Drosophila melanogaster: one gene and its partners. The protein of the gene in region 4 interacts with the protein of the main gene of each other region in a biochemical or structural test. Each region holds a gene or a part of one and is shown on either strand. Other genes may lie near its edges. The genes, in order: Hayan, Sp7, GNBP3 and PPO1.

What was found.
Region 1: of the proteins of PPO1 (region 4) and Hayan, one has a biochemical effect on the other in vitro, tested with the Drosophila melanogaster proteins (one study listed by BioGRID).
Region 2: of the proteins of PPO1 (region 4) and Sp7, one has a biochemical effect on the other in vitro, tested with the Drosophila melanogaster proteins (one study listed by BioGRID).
Region 3: the proteins of PPO1 (region 4) and GNBP3 form a complex in vitro, tested with the Drosophila melanogaster proteins (one study listed by BioGRID).

What each region holds. Positions count from the first base shown.
Region 1 is NC_004354.4:18,479,450-18,485,404, forward strand, and holds Hayan (hayan), read right to left. Parts: upstream 4,324-5,955; 5' UTR 3,992-4,323; intron 3,195-3,991; 5' UTR 3,188-3,194; coding exon 3,106-3,187; intron 3,041-3,105; coding exon 2,860-3,040; intron 2,685-2,859; coding exon 1,908-2,684; intron 1,780-1,907; coding exon 1,712-1,779; intron 1,684-1,711; exon of another isoform or gene 1,617-1,683; coding exon 1,345-1,616; exon of another isoform or gene 1,280-1,344; coding exon 1,093-1,279; exon of another isoform or gene 1,036-1,092; coding exon 689-1,035; 3' UTR 534-688; downstream 1-533. Other genes in the region: psh (persephone), read right to left, coding at 5,200-5,546, 5,605-5,788, 5,847-5,955. UniProt on the Drosophila melanogaster protein: Serine protease which, by converting prophenoloxidase 1 (PPO1) into its active form, plays an essential role in the melanization immune response to physical or septic wounding.
Region 2 is NT_033777.3:7,757,767-7,763,932, forward strand, and holds Sp7 (serine protease 7), read left to right. Parts: upstream 1-2,019; 5' UTR 2,020-2,157; intron 2,158-2,970; 5' UTR 2,971-3,420; coding exon 3,421-3,508; intron 3,509-4,240; coding exon 4,241-4,627; intron 4,628-4,690; coding exon 4,691-4,799; intron 4,800-4,868; coding exon 4,869-5,155; intron 5,156-5,268; coding exon 5,269-5,573; 3' UTR 5,574-5,660; downstream 5,661-6,166. Other genes in the region: CG10919 (uncharacterized protein), read left to right, coding at 504-808, 861-983, 1,713-1,848. UniProt on the Drosophila melanogaster protein: Serine protease that, by cleaving and activating prophenoloxidase (PPO1) after immune challenge, plays an essential role in the melanization immune response to septic wounding.
Region 3 is NT_037436.4:8,953,114-8,957,051, reverse strand, and holds GNBP3 (Gram-negative bacteria binding protein 3), read right to left. Parts: upstream 2,032-3,938; 5' UTR 2,027-2,031; coding exon 554-2,026; 3' UTR 501-553; downstream 1-500. Other genes in the region: mRpL12 (mitochondrial ribosomal protein L12), read right to left, coding at 1-105. UniProt on the Drosophila melanogaster protein: Involved in the recognition of invading microorganisms. Binds specifically to beta-1,3-glucan and activates the phenoloxidase cascade.
Region 4 is NT_033778.4:17,886,691-17,891,834, reverse strand, and holds PPO1 (prophenoloxidase 1), read left to right. Parts: upstream 1-1,861; 5' UTR 1,862-1,934; coding exon 1,935-2,290; intron 2,291-2,347; coding exon 2,348-2,483; intron 2,484-2,552; coding exon 2,553-3,047; intron 3,048-3,121; coding exon 3,122-3,755; intron 3,756-3,912; coding exon 3,913-4,165; intron 4,166-4,224; coding exon 4,225-4,423; 3' UTR 4,424-4,615; downstream 4,616-5,144.

The DNA of each region.
Region 1 (5,955 bases), on a different chromosome or scaffold from region 4:
TCGCAGTCTCGCGACCAACTGAAGCCCGAGGAGTCCTGGCAGCGCCATTTAAGCAGCTCCCACTTTTGCTGCCCGCAGGAGTGCGGCCTTGTGGGGAGAGCGGGGGCTGGTTTGCTGCGAGCGGACGGGGCCAGTGGGTCGGTGGGTGGTGGGTGGTGGGTGGTGTTTGGCTGGCTGTTTGGCCGCAGTAAGCCGGCAGCACTTTGTAACGGCGGCGAACAGCTGACTGCAAAAGCTCAGTAAGCAGCTTTTGTCGCAACTTTCGAATGCCACACCTGGCAATGCCGCGCGCAGCGAGCTTTTGCGCTCTCAGTTCTGTTTACGTACGAGCGGGTGAGGCGCAGACAGCGATAGTTTGACAGCTGTCCCGAAACCAGGGCTGCTGCAAAACGTCAGTGGGTAAAGTGCTTGGCACTTATGATACCTCTTAGTTGCCTCAGATGTTTGAATTTCTATTACACTATTATACTACACTATTATACTACACTATTATACTACACTATTATATAAAATAAAATCGATTCTAACATTTTGAGGAACTGAATGAACAACCCTTATGGCTTCTTTAATGACACTCACTGAATTGTGTCGAACTTTGTCTAAAGACAAAATACCTTTATCAAACACTTTTGATGGGAAACACCATCCGATCCGTTCAAACTAAATTTATTGCAGATCAAATGACGCCTCAGAAACGATTCGACGGCCACACGATACCCTCGATATAGTCGAGAAAGGAGGAGACGCGTGTGTAGAGGCCCGGGGTCTTGGTGGCGCAGCCGAAGCCCGAGGAGATTACGCCTACGATCGAGTAGGTGCCGTCGACGTCGTCAATCTCCAGGATGAGAGGTCCACCGGAATCGCCCTGACAGGCGTCCTTTCGCTGATTCTTGTCCGCCGCGCACAGCTGCGAGGCAATCACGCCCCTTCTCAACGTCCGGTTGGCACTCGGCTGTTCCGCAAAGGATGCATTGCACTCGTCGGCCGGCACCAGATCCAGAGCCGCCCGCAGCAGGATCTTTGATACGGCACGATCTGTAAAGACACCATCGAACACAATCCAATCCTGCAGTTTACGCACACACAACTTACTGGTCACATTCATTACACCCCAACCGGCGACGAAATATTTGTAGTTCGCTGGCGGATCACTGCGATCCGTGTAGAGACAGGCGGGACGGATGACATCGGACTCCTTGGCATCCTCGGCCAGCTGCAGAATGGCGATATCGTAGTACTTACTACTGCCGGAATAGTCCGGATGAATTTGAACATCAATCTGCCAATGGAAGTGAGTGAGTTCAACTGGTTATCTCGCACCATGTGTCACATGGCGATACCAACCACATTGATGTCCTGGTAGCCCGGCTCGGGATTTTCGATGTTCAACGCACCCAGACGGACGAAACTGGGTGTGCTATCGTCACTATTGACGCAGTGAGCCGCTGTGAGGACGAATCGACTGGCGATGAGCGATCCACCACATCGGAACGCTGCGCTCCCGAAGGAGTTGTACGCAATGGCCGCCATGTGGGGATAGACGCCCCTATCCACCCGTTCGCCGTCCAGAATGTGCACCGTCAGGGGCTTTCCACCGGATCGGATCTTCTCACACGCTATCATCAGATGATAGGAAATTTAATATATATTGTATATAATATATCTCCAAAGATATTTTCATATAAAATATTCCAAAGAATGCGCAACTCACCTGCCACCGACGGTCGCTCCTTCTCGGGAAGATTGACGCGGGAGGGATTGGGATTGGGCGTCGTTGGCCTGCGAAAGACAAGGTATATCAGCGATTAAAATTGGGCTCACGATGGTTTCCACCTGAGACAGAGACTGCATGCGGCTCCCTGGCTGAGGCCAACTGATGTCCATGCCAAAAGAATGCTCAGACAAACCGCGTCTCGGCTGGATTGAAGATGCTGGGAGCTGGATCCGCGTCTAGATTATTGCTGACATCGTTCCAGGGTTCCTGGGGCTGGGTATCCTTGTCTCTGTCCTGGCCCCGAAATCGGTAGGGTTCAAAGGGATCGATCAATTGCGTGGGCGTGGGTGCGGGTGTGGGCGTGGGCGTGGTTTGCAACACCATGGGCACTTCTCGAGCAGGCTCAATCTGCATTCCCTGCTCCCGCAGCCGATCGTTGACCAAATGTATGAGGTTGTTATTATTGGGGCTTGGATTGGTATTGAAATTGGAATTATTCGGTCTTTGGGGTCGTGATCGAGGCGTGGTCAGTGGACGGTTCACAATCCGTGGCTCACGGCCCCACTCCGGTTCCATAAAAGATCTCTGGGTGCTTGCAATGGGTTGAGTCTTCGAAGGAGCTATGCCCCAAGCTCCAACGCTTTGGATGGGCAACTTCATGGGTTCGTGTGTGGGCAACTTCATTGACTCGTGAGTGGGCATCTTCATGGACTCGTGAGTGGGCGTCTTCATCGACTCCTGTGTGGGCAACTTCAAGGACTCGTGGGTTTTCTGCGGCTTTACTGTGGTGCTTAGCAGCTTGTTGAAGTCAAAGAAGTTCTGATTCTCGTCCAGCCGACTTTCCCGCTCCCTTTTCCCCTCGGTGGTCGTTGGAGGCAGTGGCTCCGGTTCTGGTGTTGGTTCCCGCTTGGGTTCGGGTAAACTGCTGCGCTCGGAGCTCGTAGCATGGAATTGGACCTCACGACCTCGACTGTGGGAGTGAGAGGTGTTAGTCTGGCGTTGGACGCCGGTAACCGGGGCATGCAACATCGGTGGGCACACAGCACAAGCGGGACACACACAAACACATATATATGGTGCACAAACAGGAGGACAAAAAACAGGACAATAGAGCGCAGAGGCCAAGGAGACAAGGACACGCTTACTCAGTGGCACAGCAGGCGACGGTGGGGCAGCAGATGATCTCCTCGCGGGCGCCAAAACCACAACTCGGCACCTGGCTGGTGGACAGCGTGCCCGACTTCAAATATCCTCTGATGTTCTCGCAGGCTGAGGAGGAGAGGCAGATTCCCGGTATGTCCGACCTCACCTGGCAGGGATCGCCCTCTGCAACGAGAAATGCGGCCAGCTGGCAAGGATCTAGTGTACGCGCCGCAAGACATCCTACATACCATCCCCAACTGTTACATACGCAGAAGTTGTCAGCACCAGGAGACCCAGAAGGAAGTACCTTCTCGCCGAGATCATCGCCATCGGTCAGCTGAAATTCCCAAAAGCATTAGTGAATCCCATTCTACTTGGTAACGCTTATCAGCCTTATCAAAACCGAAAATGGAAAACATCATTTTCACAACAGGGGAAGCCCTCGTCGAAATGGTAAGGGAAAAACAAACGAGATCTGTTTCTTTCAATCGACTCGACTTTCAGCTGATTAAACCGATCCACATCCACTGCCATTGACCCATTTACGATTTTTTTTTTTTTTTAATATGGGAACACCACAAAAGCATTCTCCATATGAACTGCTCGATTGTAGTAAGCCAGACTTGATTGATTTCATTTGAGAGACTTTGTGTTGATGGAAAGTTTGTGTTTGCCGATTACGACGAGCATTTCACCAGCAGCGCCGCCAGGTGAGATCAGATGATTCATGGGAGGCATGCCGCTGGGATTTTACCACCGGCTAAAGACGTGTACTGCCAACTGATATCGCAGCTACGTCGGTAATAACCGATACGAAAGTAACACCTGACAATTATGCTGCTCAATTGAGCAGAGAGTCGTCAATGTGTCTGCAGTTCAACTGAATCATATATATCCGATTGAAGCAATGCAAAAGTGTCATGACATCACCTGTTATCGGCCCAAATGAAATTGTATTAAATAGGTATGCGATTGCTAATCAGCTTCCGGCCTTCCGCAGTAATTGCCCATTGTAAACACGACGAAATCAAAAGTAGAACATGCAATACATAGCCCCACATCCCCACATCCCGCAATCCCAATGTCCATTGTCCACTGTTCACTGTACACCGACGTCCGCCTTATCGAACGCACCTTTGACACGACCTTTTTTCGGTCTCTGATAAGGGAGTAGTACGTCTACGTATCGATGTCGTTTATTGAGTGCGTCGAGCACTGTGGTGACTATGGCAATCGGGCACCGCACAATACAATACAATTTAATTCAATACCACATAAACAAAACAAAATCCAAGGGAATTACGAAAAAAAAAAATAAAAAATAAAGAAAAAAACACCGCAAAAAGCACACCAGCAGAGTCAATAAAGCTAAAAACCGGTGGCTATCACAAATCGCGGCGGTATGGAATCTGCTGGCTATTTTCCCGGCTCTGACCGCTCAGCAACGCATCGCCCAAGCAACTGAAGCCAAGCTTCTGAGCCCCAGCTGGAGCTGGAGCTGGAACCGATGAGGCCCATTTAGACGTCGACCAAGAAGCGCCGGACCCAGCAGCTGATAGCACCCAGAGCCGATCCTCTCCCGCTGAGCGGCGAACCGGTTTCCCATTCCACCACTTCGCAGAATCGCAGAACGATCCGAAGCGATCAGAAGCCAGAGCACACAAAGCACAAAGGCAGCCTGTAATTAGCGAGTGGGTAAGCAACAGGCGAGCGGTATGGACTAAAGGATACCGCGTAAGGTCTATGCTGCGCTTGGTGACCCCGATATTTACACCTTTAAAAGTCGAGTATAATTGTGTCACAGAATCGTGTTTTAGAACTTACCATATATATAGTTTCAATTGCAGTAATCTTGTTTTTTTTTTTTTTGTATAATTCTTCTCTAATTAAAGTGGTGACCCAGATACTTACTTTCTTGCCTAGGTTGCGACCTAGGTGGTGACCCAAGAAGTCCTTTTCAACTTATAGTCTGAAACATATGCTTAAAATTTAAATTTCTTATGACAAATCTTTCTGAAATAAATGCATTCTGTTTGTATTTCCCCATTTTTTTTATACAGTGCAGCAATTCAATAAAAGTGGTGACCCAGAAATCCCTCTAAAATTAAACAGAACCAGAAAAATCACTTCACAGAGTTCTGGAAACCGAACTGCCAGAAATAATATTGTACCGATTGATTATATCTTAAAACGTATCTACTTTATTGGTATTAAATGGTTCGATCGCGGTGCTCATAGAGATCACAGATGAGTGTTTGCCAATTGCGATGGATCAGGCAGTCCTGATCCCAAATAGAAATAATATACATACAAAAAAAACAAAAACTTTACTTTTCCCAACTTTACACCCGATTGTCCGGCCAGACAATGCCCTCGATAAAGTCCAGATAGGACGAGACACGCGTATAGAGTCCCGGTGTGACGGTGGCGCATCCGAATCCCGACGAGATGACGCCCATGATGGTGTACATGCCGTCCTCCACGTTGAGCTCATGAATGAGCGGCCCACCGGAGTCGCCCTTGCATGCGTCGGCGATGAGCTTTTGATCAATGGCGCACAGCAACGAATCGATCACGCCCTGCTTGAGCAACCTTATGGAACCGGGCTGCTCCGCATAGGATATATTGCATTGGTCCAGAGGCACCAGCTCCAGACCAGCGCGCAACAGGATCTTAGATCGCGCCCGAGCTGCGGATGGTTAGCCATTAGTGGAAGTGGAGGATATGGAACTTTTTGTGCTACCCACTGGTTACATTTAGGACGCCCCAACCGGCGACAAAGAACTTGGAGTTCGATGGCGGATCGGTGGCATCCGTATGGAGACAAGCGGGCCGGATGTTATCCGTCTCGACGACATCACGTTCCAGTTCCAAAATGGCGATATCGTTGTACTTATTGCCCACATACTGCGGATGGATCTTAACGCTTCGCTGAGATATGGTATCGATCAGAATGGCTATAACTTAATGCATAAGCACAGTGACTCACTATGACGATATCCTGGTAGGAATGGTCTGGATTTTCAATGTTCACAGCTCCCAAGCGAACAAAGGCCGGCGTATTGGCATCGGTGTTGACACAATGTGCGGCGGTCAGG
Region 2 (6,166 bases), on a different chromosome or scaffold from region 4:
AATGACGTAAACGTTTAATACCCTTTGTTAGTAAGCCGATTTTATTTTACAGAAAAGATAACAAGAGCAAATTGACGGCATATTAGTTTGGCATGTTTATGTTGATGAATAAACCAATAATAATCATTTCAACGTAAACCAAAAATTACATACAATCAGATTTTTCAAAAAAAAAAAAAAACAGATAGAAACATATTCATGTAAAAAAAACATATAGCCAATAAAAAAGCCGAACAAAACGAAGTTCGTCACCATTCCTAATTAAGAAAACAAAAACTTTATGCTGAGCAACTTAATCATCAAATGTTAATGTCATCTTGAACTAAAAAAATGCCAGTTTTGGCTTTTATCAAAATTATGAAAGTGTAAACAATCACTGCTTTAACTATCATCTATAACATTTATTTAGACCTTAACCAAAAAATATATTCACAAATTCCACAGAAGTATTCAAAATAATAACTCATACACGTAATACCCGGCACTTCAATACAACATCCAAAATGGAAGCCGCCAGTGAAAGAAAAACCCAGATTATGGAAAAGAGGAAGCTCATGGGCGACAAGAGGATGAGCATGGGAATGAAGTCCTTCTATGCCTCGGTAATGGGAAGCATTTTTCGTATGAGCGATGAGCAGCGGAACGCGTTTGCAGCCATGTATAGGCGCCACAAGGCTGACGCACAATATGTTAACAATAACTACGTTGATGATCCCGTGGAGGAGTACGTGCCTATTTATCAAACCGTATTCGATGACGACCGGGATCCCGTGCACGAGCCCACATTCTCTAAACACCGCATACCCCTGTAAGATTTCCAGCCAAACTTGTTACGGTCAAAATACTTCTTATTTCATTAGTCAGATACGTTGTCTGGAACGTTACCACAATTCCAAGCGGGAGTACGCCGATCAGTTCAAGCGGGAAATCAAACTTCTGATCGACAACCAGTCCACGGCGCAGGAGGCTTGGCAATTCGTAAGGTAAGCTGAAAATCTAGATTTAGTTACGCTTAATAATAGGTAATAGGTTTGAAAAGTAACAATCCAATACTCATTTGATTAAAGCACGCCTTAGGCAAACCCTTAATTGATCAGCCACTATTCGTATTAGTTCTCTTTTAATTTAGTCCTCACTATCATTTTTATTTCGCTATTTTTAGTTATAAATAAAGATAAAAGGATTAGAACCTGCTTCCAATAGAAATCGGTTCATTGTTCGACTCCCAAGTAATGTTCTCAGTTCAAGCTTTTCTTCATGGGTCACTTCAATAGATTTTATTTGCTTGTATTTCTATATTGTTTTTGACAATGCTGTCAAGAAAGTGTTGGAATTTATCCCTAGCTCTCCCACTAGCTGAGTAACAAGTATCTGTTAGTCGGGGAAATCGAGTATACCGTTCTCTATTTTGTTATTGTTGTTAATAGAAAAGAAGACGTTCATTGTGCGTTTCGTCACAATTTTTTCGTCAAAGTTTTTAATGTATTGTGTTTAGCTAAAATAGTTTTGAAAAGAATAGATCAAAAACATATTCTTTAGCCTCAGTCACTAATAATTGATAAAACTAAAGATTTTGAATTCAAAATACTAAAAAGTTTTTCAAAGTTTTTCATTTCTTTTGAGCCATATCATCTTCAATTGACAATCATTAGAAACCGTAAATACCAACTTTTCAAATTACTTTACTTATTTCCCTTTTGATTTTCTTACAGAACCATGGCCTATACCACACTTTGGCCGCCGCTGCACACAAGAAAAGAGCTCAAGATTTTCGAATTGGACTTTTGCAAGCTTAACCCTCAAGAGCAGAAGCGCTATAACAAAATAATGGCGACCAACTTTTCTTAGTCTTTAAGTTTTAATATATAAAATTTTATAATTTAAAAAAAAAATATATAAAATAATAAAAGCAACAAAAGTGTTGATGAAAACAATATCGTTCTGGGAATATAATAATTATCGGAAGCCCTCACAGTATTTCAGTATTTTTTATATATACTTTAAAGTCATTTAGTACGGCAACGTTACTAAAAATGGCGTGATTAACAAAAACGTGATAAGCAATAAAAAAAATATATCAAACGAAGTTTTTTCAGATTCCAGATTAATACACGCTTCCTTAACTTTGTAAAGGTTGTAAAATATGATCAAGTTTTGGTAGGTATGAGTGCAAAAATAAAATGCTGTCTGATCTTAACCAAAAGCCTTTTGAATAAAAAACATGAAGACTGTGCAAAAATGTTAAATTTTGATGCCACTTGTAAACATGTGCGCATTAAGGAGGGTGTTGAAATAGGAACTCAAAATCACGAAGGCACTTAACAACGCAAATAGTGAAGCTATTTAGTGAACACAGACTATTATATGTGACATAACAACCGGAAATTGCAGGATGATATGAAAAAGGTAAAATGCAACAACAAATACAGATAATCAGTAGCAAGAAATCATCGAAGTGTAGCACGGCAAAATAGGAGTTGACATGTATCTTTTAAGAAGACCTACCGAAATTTCAAACATCTTGATCCAGCCGGCCAAAACCGCATCTCTGTGCAATAATTCATCGATCGTGTCAACAAACTAGTTAGTGCCTACCAATGGGTCGAGAAGTCTCTACTACTTGCAATCTGTTCACGACACGAATCCAGCAAAGATGTAGCTCGATTCGTCTCCTGTGAAGCGTTGCAGAAGTACATTTCAATATGGGTAACGCCTGTTGTGACTTGAGGTATCTCGCCCTTCCATGACCAAAGGAGAAAAAGAATCCATGTTGTGAGAAATTTCAGAAGCCAAATAGAGTTTGCAAAGCTACAAATCTAAGTGGATGAGTATTTAGGAATTTTACATATGAAGACATTGTTCATCGGGCTGGATCACTGTTGAGGATCGACTTACAAAGCAAATTTTTGAATATTTTTGAATACATTTCACTACGTACAAAATATATACATTTAAACATAATATTTTCAGAGCGAGGCTGTTTTTGGGTCCAGCAAAAAATAATCTAAAAATGTTTTGATCTGTAAGAAGTACGTGCTTAGTGAGGTCTACCTGTATATAGGATCTGTACACTCTAGGGAGAAAGCATCAAAATCCGAGTACCAAAGCTTTTCAAAAGATCTCTTTCTTAGTTGTGATAAGCTCGGCTCAAGTCTCTTGATGGGCTTGAAAGCTTTACTCACGGCCTCTCTGGGACAGTATCTCTCAACGACGAATCGATTATCATCTGCGATCGCATTTAAAAAGTCTCTCGCCCGTTAATTCGCGATCAGTTGTCTCTGCGTATCGAAGGCGTTCGTAGTTTAATTTCGCTCTTCACGGTTCTCTGGTTCGAGGTCGACGCGCGTAATCGCAAAGACGCGTTCTTATTAAATAAGCTGTGAAATTTCTTATTAAAATTGGTGGGAAATATCCCAGAAGATGAAATCAACACGCAAAGTAGTTGGGATTTTTTTGGCCACCTGCCTGCTGCCTTTCACCGTTCTACAAAATGTTGCGGCACAAGGAAGTAAGTACCGAGCTATAAATATGTGATTCACTCAGAGCTGACTCATTAATTGAGACCGGTACTTATCCGTGTTAAGCGCAATAGCTTAACAGAATTCAATGCGGTTATCAGACTTGAACTTGAACAAATTTCCCATGTCAATGACTTAATTGAGCGCACTCGTGTATTCTTTCATTCTCCTCAATAAATTTTATGGGACCACTCGTCAAACAACATATTACATTATCAAGGGATTTGATTGATGTCAAAAAATTAATCGTATTTTTTATTATCAAGTAGCAACTCCTGACAATTTTAAATATCGTTCTTAATGCTTGTGTTCTCAAAAACGAAACATAATTGAAATAACGTATAAGTGCAATTTAAATGTTTATTAAACATAAACCAAATTCTTAATAGGATTTTTATAATTTGAAATTAATTAAGCTGCAAAATTAGGTCACTAATATTGACTACAATTATTGATAGCATAATCAAGCGAATTAAAATGTTTAATGAAGTCGTTTTTGACTTAAGTGTTTTGTTTTAATTCAACGACGTGCTGATTGATAGTATTATTGCTTAATTTATTTAAATTAAATAAATATTTATATTTAATTTAAATAGCTTTATCAGCAGGTTGATTTCCGAATTCAAAATTTCCCAAGTTGCCTTCATGTTTTATACCACTCTTAACTCATTTTGACAGGAGTAACTGATCTTCCTACTTGTGTCTTTAATTGTTATGTGTAGGTTGTAGGAATCCCAACCAGAAACAGGGACAATGTTTGTCCATATACGACTGTCAAAGTCTGCTTTCCGTGATTCAGCAGTCTTATGTCAGCCCGGAGGACAGAACCTTTCTTCGAAACTCACAGTGCCTCGATGGAGTAGGTCGCCAGCCATATGTTTGCTGTACAAGTGATCGCAGCTTTGGATCCCAGGAGGCCACCTCCGCAGCCCCTCCTCCAACGACTACCAGTTCAAGTTCACGAGGTCAAGACGGTCAAGCGGGTCTGGGCAACCTGCTGCCCTCGCCACCCAAGTGCGGGCCCCACTCCTTCAGCAATAAGGTCTATAATGGCAACGACACTGCTATTGACGAGTTCAACTGGATGGCACTGCTTGAGTACGTGGATAGTAAGTGACATCTTATATAAAATCATGTAACTTTAGTTAACGCATCTTTATCCATGTTGATAGACAGGGGACGGCGGGAACTCAGTTGCGGTGGCAGTTTGATCAACAATCGTTACGTTCTTACCGCCGCCCATTGCGTCATTGGTGCGGTGGAAACGGAAGTAGGTCACCTGTAAGTATTTACGTGGTTTGATGTTTATCCACGTTTTTAAATAACTAAATGAGTTGTGCCCCTATACAGAACTACCGTTCGGTTGGGGGAATACGATACCAGCAAGGACGTGGACTGCATAGATGACATTTGCAACCAGCCCATCCTACAATTGGGCATCGAACAGGCCACTGTACATCCCCAATATGATCCTGCCAACAAGAACCGCATTCACGACATTGCCTTATTGCGATTAGATCGGCCCGTTGTGCTTAATGAGTATATTCAGCCGGTTTGTTTGCCTTTGGTAAGCACACGAATGGCAATCAATACCGGGGAGCTCTTGGTGGTCAGCGGGTGGGGCCGAACCACAACAGGTGAGTTTGGATATTAAAGATACTTATATTCATTCTAAAGATATCAATTGAAGCTCTTGACCAAGAAGAATCTATAATTTCATAACTAATTGATTCAAATTCTTATTCTATAGCCCGCAAGAGCACCATAAAGCAGCGATTGGATCTGCCGGTGAATGACCACGATTACTGCGCACGAAAGTTCGCCACGAGGAATATCCACCTGATCAGTTCCCAGCTCTGTGTTGGCGGGGAATTCTACCGCGACAGCTGTGATGGCGACTCCGGCGGACCGCTGATGCGAAGGGGTTTTGACCAGGCTTGGTACCAGGAGGGCGTGGTCTCCTTTGGCAACCGCTGCGGACTAGAGGGTTGGCCAGGTGTCTACACTCGGGTAGCCGACTACATGGACTGGATCGTGGAGACCATTCGTCCCTGAGCAGCGGAACGAAGGCCGCTTTTGTTCTGATAATGTTTTAATTAAAGTCAAGTCGAGAGTGCTCTTTGGGCTGGGCGCCCATCCTTTAATTAACTTGCATTCAATGTGATTTTATCAGCTGCACTTACCACGCTGCGTATACTTAATGCGCTTACAGTCTAGCGCCGTTTGCGGTAATTAAAATCGCTGTTCCCCACTGGGATGGGATGGTGAGAGTTCAGTGGAATAACTTTCAAGATGCGGGCCAACTTGCCCAGAGGCACCTTCTTAGCGCCCCCAGCTATTTTCTATGCAATTTGGCAATGAATTTCTATTATGGAAGCAGTGCTTTTCAGAGCTTCCGGCGCTCCATCCGCAAAGTTTTCACTTGTTTGCTGGCTGATTGCACTGAAGGCGTGGCTAGGCTGGAAAACGAAGTAGACAATGGCTAGGCTCATTAATTGTGTGCACGCGGAAAGGTTAATGATGCCTGCAGGAACCGGTTAGCACGGACAAAGGGCTTGGGTTTCTTTACCAAATTTACAGAGTCCACATAACAGCTTTTTAATGCGGATCCAAATACAAGCGCAAGAAGTAAACGAGGATCGCAAAGG
Region 3 (3,938 bases), on a different chromosome or scaffold from region 4:
TTTTTCCGCACCCGAGACTGCGGCGGCCGGAGCCGCTGCACTGTACATGCGATGCAGCTGCACTTGGCGCGAAATCTGGCGAAGGGCGAGGCGTGTGATGTGCATCTTATTGGTATCTGCAAGTCTTAAGTTAGAAAAGCGTTCAACTATCATTTAATATCCATTTACTTACGGTTTTCGGGTGACAAAATAAATTCTTTGGGCCGCAGCAGCAGGTTATGTGAGCAGTTTATCGATAAACAGCCAGGGCTGCATTCAACATATTTGGTTGAACGGCAGTGCCATGCTTAAATAAAACCATATGGTTGGAAAAGTAACGTTTAAATACCGCTAAATAAATAATTTAATTTACAATTGTTTTTTGCTTGTTTTTGCTTGTTTTGCATGGAAATTTATTTAAAAAATAAACAGGTAAGAACCTTTGAACTTGATTTTCATTTAAGAAAGTTCTTCCATTTTCTAGCATAATTTTAGATGTAAATGTATAAAATGTATTGTATAAATGTTAATTATATTTGTTTTATTTCCTATGCTTGTAATTCGATTACAGAGTTTACAAAGAGTACACCTTTACGTAGTCGATCTTCATGTGGCCCTCGTCCAGCCAGTGGTCCCTGATCTTCTTGACTTCCTTCCAAAAGGCTTTCTGCGCCTGCGGCGCCCTCTCGTTCCAGGGTTTGATCTCGTGCTGGTACTCGTTAAAACCGCCCACGCTGAGTCCGAAGGTCAAGTAGAACTCCTGATCGAAGGGTGCCAGTCCAGTGCCCTCCTCCAGTTTCTGGGCCTGCGGTAAACTCTTTCCGGCGGCAGTCGTCTCGCTGAAAGACCCTTTAGCACTTCCCTGGACACACCACTCCTTGCCGTCCACCAGCCAGCGAAGTTCCCTGGGTGTCCATTCGAGGGTGTAATTGTGGAAACTATCGCTCCAGTCCTCGGAGTTATTTCCAGTACCTGGCTTCAGGCAATTCTTGACCGATCGCAGCGGCTCATCTGCAAAGAGCACGGCGGCGCCATACAAATCCAGATTACCTCCATTCGGACGGGTATAAGCGATTCTCAGCTGTCCCGACCGATAATCATCCACTCCGTAGATCGGACGCCTGGGCTGCAGCCAGATTTGTGGAGTCACCCACTGTGCCCGCGGCATTTTGGCTCGCACCTCCACGCGACCATACTTGAAGGAGAAATCCTTGGAGGAGAACTGAGCGGTGACCATTGGCGGAAGTCCGTCATTTAGGGTTCGCCCATTTCTTACACAGTCGTGGGTATTCGCTTGTCCCGTACACTTTTCACCCAGATCCAAACTTTCACCCGAACCCTTCTTGAATTGTTTTTTCATTGTGTTCGTCGAGAGCACCACATGACCATTGGCTAAGCACAAGGTTTCCGGAGCGTCATCCACGTACACATTAAACTCGTAGTCGGGTTGACCGGAAAACCTGCGTTCCGCTTTCCACTTATTGGGATCCAGCTTTGCAGCATTGAACTCATCCACGAACACCAGCTGCCCGGCACAGCGAGTGGGTGCTCCATTGACCTCGGTTTTGGGAGTAGTACAACCCAACCTTATGTCGATATCCGGATCGGCAGGTGGAGTCCAGGGCGTTGTGGAGACTGGAACCACAGGTGGATGTGGTGAGGCATTATTACCACTGTACCCATTGACCACAAACGACCCGTCGTCTTCGCGATAACCCAGTCCGTTGTAGATAACGTATGTCCAGTAGTACAGGGTGTCGCCAGGCTTTAGAGCCGTAATCCGGTCCCGGAAGGTCCAGCGTCCGTTTTTCGCTTTGACAATGTCCCGTGCCCAGGTGCCAGCCTCCAGGCCCTCCATCTCCTCATTTAGTTTGCCATGGAAGGCGAACAGGGTGATGCCCTCCTCATCGGGAATTGAGACCTCGAATCCCTTGGGATAGAAAACATCGATCTTAGCCTTGGGTACTTCATACCCCTGAACGCCAAGGAGCAGGAACAGCAGTTGGAGGCAGCAGCTCCAGGCCACAAAGCGCAATGCATCCGCCATTGTGGGAATACCAATTAAAACTGCGATGAGCGGTCAGACAACTCGGACTTGAAAATCTGAGAATCTTATCAAGAACCGGTCGAGGCTTGTTTGTTAAAGGTGCACTGCAAAAAAGTACACACCGTAAAGTGCTATCGCAGATTCTAAAGTCTAAAGCCTATGTTGAAGCAAGTATGTGCCATCGTAGCTAAAAATAACAATGGGCGATTTAATCAAGAAAATAAAAAGTAAAATACAATAATTTTGGTGTTTTTATATATAAATATCTTTAATGGTAGTATTTTCTAAGTGTAATATTTATTTGAGATTTTTTTGCCAATGTTTAGAGAAGAGCGACAACACTCCCACAAGAAGAATTTGGGATTTACCCAATCACAGCCATTGAGAGTAAGCTTTTAGAAGTATGAGTAAGAATAAAGAAGAACATACGGACAAAATGTACAACCTTCTATTAAAGATGATTTTAGAGATTTTAAAAAGCCCGCTTAATAAACAGCGAAGTTGCCCAACTCTAACGTGTCAGCTGTTTGTGGTATTGTGGTATATCGATAACTTTGCTTGCGGTATATCGCTGTAGTAATAAGGGCATAAGGGCATATCAGTGAAAGATTAAATTTTTTTGTTAATAGTTTCCATTGTTGCCATTAGGTAAATATTTAAACAATACTTCTATTCTGAAATAATAAGCTTCGCCGTGTAGCAGGCGACGAATTTCGATGAAATTCTGAGTCTCGTCCGTTTCCTTGTCTTATTAGCTTTCGTTCTCTCGATAGAAAAATTTGTAGAAAATATCACACACGGGAAAAAACAAAAACATGAACATATTTTTGTAAAATATTTAATTAGCGAGAAGGACACAGCGTACACGTATATTTTGTGGTTTCGCATGTTGTTCGTCAGTGTTTTTGTGCAATTATTTGAAAGATTTGGCCAAACGCGAAACGCAACAGAAAGAGGAGAACACAATAAGACAATAACAAATTCGCAGCGCGTGTGTCGTTGAATGTGCGTGGTTGTGTGCGTTTGTGCTGCTGCCAAAAGAACGCGGATATAAACAAATATCCATTTGGATCGTTGGAGCTGTTTTGTTATTGTAAGTAATGCAGATTTATGTAATTCACTTGTGTGTGTGCTCTTTTTGACCAGTCTTTGTTGTTGTTTCTGCGCTATGAAAACAGCTGTGGCGTTGCCAGACAACATAGCGCTTTATATAATTTTCTATAGGGCTGAATTACACATAATTGCTGTGCTTAGCTTAATTATTACAACATTGGGGCCATTATTTATTTTCCTTGCTAATTACGAGTGACATGTAAAGTTATCGATAAATCGATTGGCTCGTTGGATGGTTTGTTATGGCAGAAGGGGTTCCAAACAACGCACTATAGGCTGAATGGTACCTTTTTGTGGCCAAAACTCCATTCTGTAATTGAGTGTTGTAAATAGCGCTTTTAGGTATATTAGCTGAAACAAAAACTTATGTTTAACTTGAGATTTAAACTGAAAATAGAGAAATCTCAATAAAAAAACGAGTTAATTTAATATAAGGGGCGGTGCCACGACCAGAATTTTTGGTACTATAAAAGATATGGGCTAGTGTCACCCAATGCAAATAACATAAACAAAATATCTCTCCGATTTAAAGTTATTAATTTTGGCCACAAAAAGGTACCATTAAGCCTACAGTGCATCGCACGAAAGCAAAACAAGCGAGAATGATTGATTTTTCGTCGTGCGTCTTCGGGCGAGTGGCAGCTTCGTGGAAAAGCGGGCAGCAGTGAAAACTTTTGGCATCACAGTCGTTGCTGACGAGCGGAAGGGACCGCAGCTCGGGAAAATCAGGAAAGAAAACAACGCGTCAGGGCGCTCTTCTTAAATTTGAAAATTAAATGCAACTAAATAGCGTAAATTA
Region 4 (5,144 bases):
AGATTAGAGCCATGAAACTTTAATCAGTTTGGTGCCCAAGTGGGCAAACAATTGAAAGCGTAGCCCACTCGAAATTTTGATAACACACTGCCGCAAATTCCTGCGGTTGGCCCACAACTAATGAATAGTTTGGAATGTTCTTTGGGGCGGAGGCATCATGTGTTTTCGAACCTGGCCGCAGAGTGCTTAAGCCAAAATGTAAAATTTAAGCCAGCGGGTAATTAACGCATACCCACAGCTCATTTTATGGACCAGACTTTCGCCCATAAAGCCAAACAGAAAGAGTGCTTGGCGCCTTTTACAAACTTGCGTGGTTTTTAAGACTTGTTGGTAAAAGTTTGGGTTTTTTCCTTTTTTTTTGTTCTGTTTCGCCGGTGAAAGCAGGCTCTGCACGTGTCCTGGCCTAAAGCTTTTGCTTTGGCCCATTTTCATTCTAATTCAATTCACACTGCCAAGTTCGCAGAAGCACACACTTTTCCACAATTTATAATTAATTAAAGCAAGTTTGTCTTTTGGGCTGGAATCTGGAGCACATTTGCCATGGCTGTCGTTGAATATTCAATGAAAAATTACATTGCTCGGATAAATGTTTGCGTGCAGTCAAGTGTTTTCTAGGAAAAGCCAACTTCAATATACTCTGCAATATATTACTATATTACATACATAAGTGGTATGCATGGTTTAAAAGAATCTACAAAAAATCGTATAAAATATTCTTGCCTAAGTTATTTCAAACAAAAATTCAATTGATGGTAGTCAAATTTGGCTTACATTGCTTACCGTACATAGTTCATAAACTGAAAAGATGGTGTATCTGCTGGAACATCGACATTAGCAAAACAAAGTCGAGCAGAAAAGTCATTTTCATGTTGTTATGGCCAGAGTGCAGAAATTGTGAAAATTCATCTTTTCAATTTTCGCCCGAAACCCGCACATTTATGCAAACTTGTTACGCTCGTTTTTGTTGCTGTCAATTTCACAGATTAATGCGCACACATTTCAACGCCAAAGTCGGCAGAAACATTTATTATTGACAATGGCCAAAAGTTTGGCCATTCGCTTTGCTTTTTGGCCAACATCGTTCATTTGGCCAGACGGCGTAGCGACAAAAATTGATTTACAGTATAGATATTTTAATCATCCAAGCTCTCTTGCCAGTTAGTTCTTAGTTACATTCAGCTACACACTGCCATTTCAAAAACCAAATTTATGGGCCATGTCGAAGGACGAGCCCTCTGCTCCAAGCCAAATTTATGGCCTCCCATTCGGCGATGGGCGGTTCTTTTTAAGGGGGCGTGGCAGCCTGTTGAGCAAGTATTCGGTGTTATTTCTATGCGAATAAGAAGCTTTTCCGGTGGCCTTCGGCTTGTTTACTTTGGGAGTTGTATTTCGCGTGGTCGCAAAAAGGTTTCTCGGATACTTTTTCGGCAAAGACAAAGAAATTCAATTTAAGCTTCCTACCCCGGAACTAATAACTCTTCAAAAAGTTGAAAACAATTAATTGGTTGTGGGTATACATTAGGCAGTGCAGTATTGAAAAAAAATCAGTATATGTATCTAACAAGCTCAATACAGTTTCACGTTTAACAACATTCAACTGAAAATCAACAATGGTATATTATTTTATGCAAGCAATTAAAAGTATTTCTCTTATCATTTTGCGGCTCAACAACTTTTGCGGTATTGCACTTTTTGCTTTTTCAGAAGCTATCGACTAAACCACAACGTTTGGATTTGTGAGAAAAAAGGCTCGACCATTGCAGTTTTGCGGTTGGGACTTGATAATGAATATTTTTAAAAATATTATTTTTATATTCGGACTGCTAGTTAGCTATAAAATGAGTTCGGCTTCCTGGGAAAATCACAGTTCTGCAACTGGCTTCGTTGAGTGAAGTTAAAAGTGTAGTTGAAAGTGTACATCCATAGAGAAAACCATGACTAACACGGATCTGAAAGCCTTGGAACTTATGTTCCAGCGACCCCTGGAACCGGCATTCACCACTCGTGACTCCGGAAAAACTGTATTGGAACTGCCCGATTCCTTCTATACGGATCGCTATCGCAATGACACCGAGGAGGTGGGCAATCGATTCTCTAAGGACGTGGATCTGAAGATCCCAATTCAGGAGTTGAGCAACGTTCCCAGTCTGGAGTTCACCAAAAAGATTGGTCTCAAGAATCAATTTTCGCTGTTTAACAATCGCCATCGTGAGATCGCCAGCGAGCTGATCACCCTCTTCATGAGCGCACCAAATCTCAGACAATTCGTGTCGCTTTCCGTTTACACCAAGTAAGTACTTGTACTAAAATAAATATATATGTATTGTATAATGTATTAATTTTTTAGGGATCGTGTGAATCCTGTGTTGTTCCAATACGCCTATGCCGTCGCCGTTGCCCATCGCCCGGATACGCGTGAAGTGCCCATTACCAACATTTCCCAGATCTTTCCGAGCAACTTTGTAGAACCTTCCGCCTTCCGGGTTCGTTTAAGTTCTTCTTTATTTGACCAATCAAAGTCTTTAATGGTGTATTTATAAATTTGACCACAGGATGCCCGTCAGGAAGCTTCTGTTATTGGAGAGAGCGGCGCTCGTGTCCATGTGGACATTCCGCAAAACTACACGGCCTCGGATCGCGAGGATGAACAGCGCCTGGCGTACTTCCGTGAGGACATCGGTGTTAATAGCCATCATTGGCACTGGCACTTGGTCTACCCGACCACCGGACCCACGGAGGTGGTCAACAAGGATCGTCGTGGCGAGCTCTTCTACTACATGCACCACCAGATACTCGCGCGCTACAATGTGGAGCGCTTCTGCAACAATCTGAAGAAGGTTCAGCCGCTGAACAATCTGCGTGTGGAGGTTCCCGAGGGCTACTTCCCCAAGATCCTGTCCAGCACGAATAACCGCACCTATCCCGCCCGAGTGACCAACCAAAAGCTGAGGGACGTGGACCGCCATGATGGGCGTGTGGAGATCTCCGATGTGGAGCGCTGGCGTGATCGCGTGCTGGCTGCCATAGATCAAGGATACGTTGAAGATGTGAGTTGGGCCCGTTTGGAATATTGAGCATAGGTCATAGAAAGCACTAGAAATTTTTATTTGCTAATCCATAGTCTTCTGGCAATCGTATACCATTGGACGAAGTTCGTGGCATCGATATCCTGGGCAACATGATTGAGGCATCGCCAGTCCTATCCATCAACTATAATTTCTATGGCAATCTACACAACGAGGGGCACAACATAATCTCCTTTGCCCACGATCCCGATTACCGTCACTTGGAGGAATTCGGTGTGATGGGCGATGTGACCACGGCCATGAGGGATCCAATCTTCTACAGGTGGCACGGATTCATCGACACGGTGTTCAACAAATTCAAGACTCGCCTGAACCCGTACAATGCCGGTGAGCTTAACTTCGATGGTATTACCGTGGACTACATTGAGGCCAAGATTGGCAAGTCCAATACCAAGGCCAACACCCTGTTGACCTACTGGCAGAAGTCGAGTGCCGACTTGGCAGCTGGCCTGGACTTTGGACCAACGACCGATCGCAACATATTCGCCTCGTTCACCCATCTCCAGAATGCCCCCTTCACTTATACATTCAATGTGACCAATAATGGAGCCAGACGAACGGGTACTTGCCGTATCTTCATCTGCCCCAAGGTGGATGAGCGTAATCAGGCTTTGAATCTGGAGGAGCAGCGACTGTTGGCCATCGAAATGGACAAGTTCACAGTTGATTGTGAGTAATAACTGTATTTCTTAGTATATATATTTATTTAATATTTTGGTATTTAAAAAGTGTTTCTTTCGTACAAAGCTAGCCAGTGATTTTAGCTTATACTTTTCCCTACTGACAACCTCCTACGATCTATTAACATACTTTAATTAATCCCCAGTGGTGCCTGGTGAGAACACCATACGCCGCCAGTCGACAGAGTCCTCGGTGGCCATTCCCTTCGAGCGCTCATTCCGCCCGGTTGGAGCAGACTATCAGCCCAAGGCCGCCGATGAGTTGGCACGCTTCAAGTTTTGCGGATGTGGGTGGCCACAGCATCTCCTGCTGCCCAAGGGCAATGCCCAGGGAATGGTCTTCGACCTGTTCGTCATGATTTCCGATTACTCGCAGGACTCCGTTGAGCAGCCCAAAACGTGAGTGCTATAAACCCAATTTCCCATCATCAGCTGACATTCTCCTTGTCGCCCATTAGACCCAACGATGCCTGCAGCACGGCGTACTCGTTCTGTGGTCTGAAGGACAAATTGTATCCTGACAGACGCACCATGGGCTATCCCTTCGATAGGCGCCTGCCCAATGCCAATCTCACCGAATTGGTCGGTGCCTTTGGCAACATGGCCAAGACCGATTTAAGGATTGTCTTCAATGATCGTGTGATTGACAAGGCCTAGATGATTGCTCCAACTAACAGAGATGATTTTAAGAATCAATGGAAACGGACTTGAAAACGGAAAACTCTTGGAATCATATACACTTTTTGCTATTAACTTATAACTAACCAAACTTGTGCGCGTTTATGTGGTGTTTTATCGTTTCTAATTACACTCTACAAAAATAAATGTATTGTAATATGTGCAGGCAGTAATACAAGCGAGTATTGACACCTAATGAATGCAGTGGGTAGATAGCTTTAGCCAAGAAACTTTTGGTAAGCTTATAATGTATCTAATAGTCCCAATTTACCACCCGGGGAGACCAAAGAATTTTACAGATTTTTATTTATTACTTTTTCAAGGCAAAACAGAGATTACTCGTTTTCGTTGGCCTCAAGCAAGCCAGCCATGGATATGATAAATATTTACTGATATAAGAAATCCTCGTCTAGGAATATTCGCATGCCAAATATTTGCTTAGCAATATTGAATATTATTTATAGCAAAGAAATACAGATACACAGCCGCAGAAGGGCGTTTATTTGTCATAGACAGACACGCCCACATTTGTGCGAACTAATCCTATTAGACTTCAAAGCGCCTTGCTCGACAAACTTTGCGATTGCCCATGTCCAGGAGGCCTTGGCGTTCCATCCACCCACCAAGTGTTGAGGGAAAATAGAAAAAACATCCTCGCAAAACAGCCAACAAAATCGCTGCACGTGTTGCGTTTATTAAT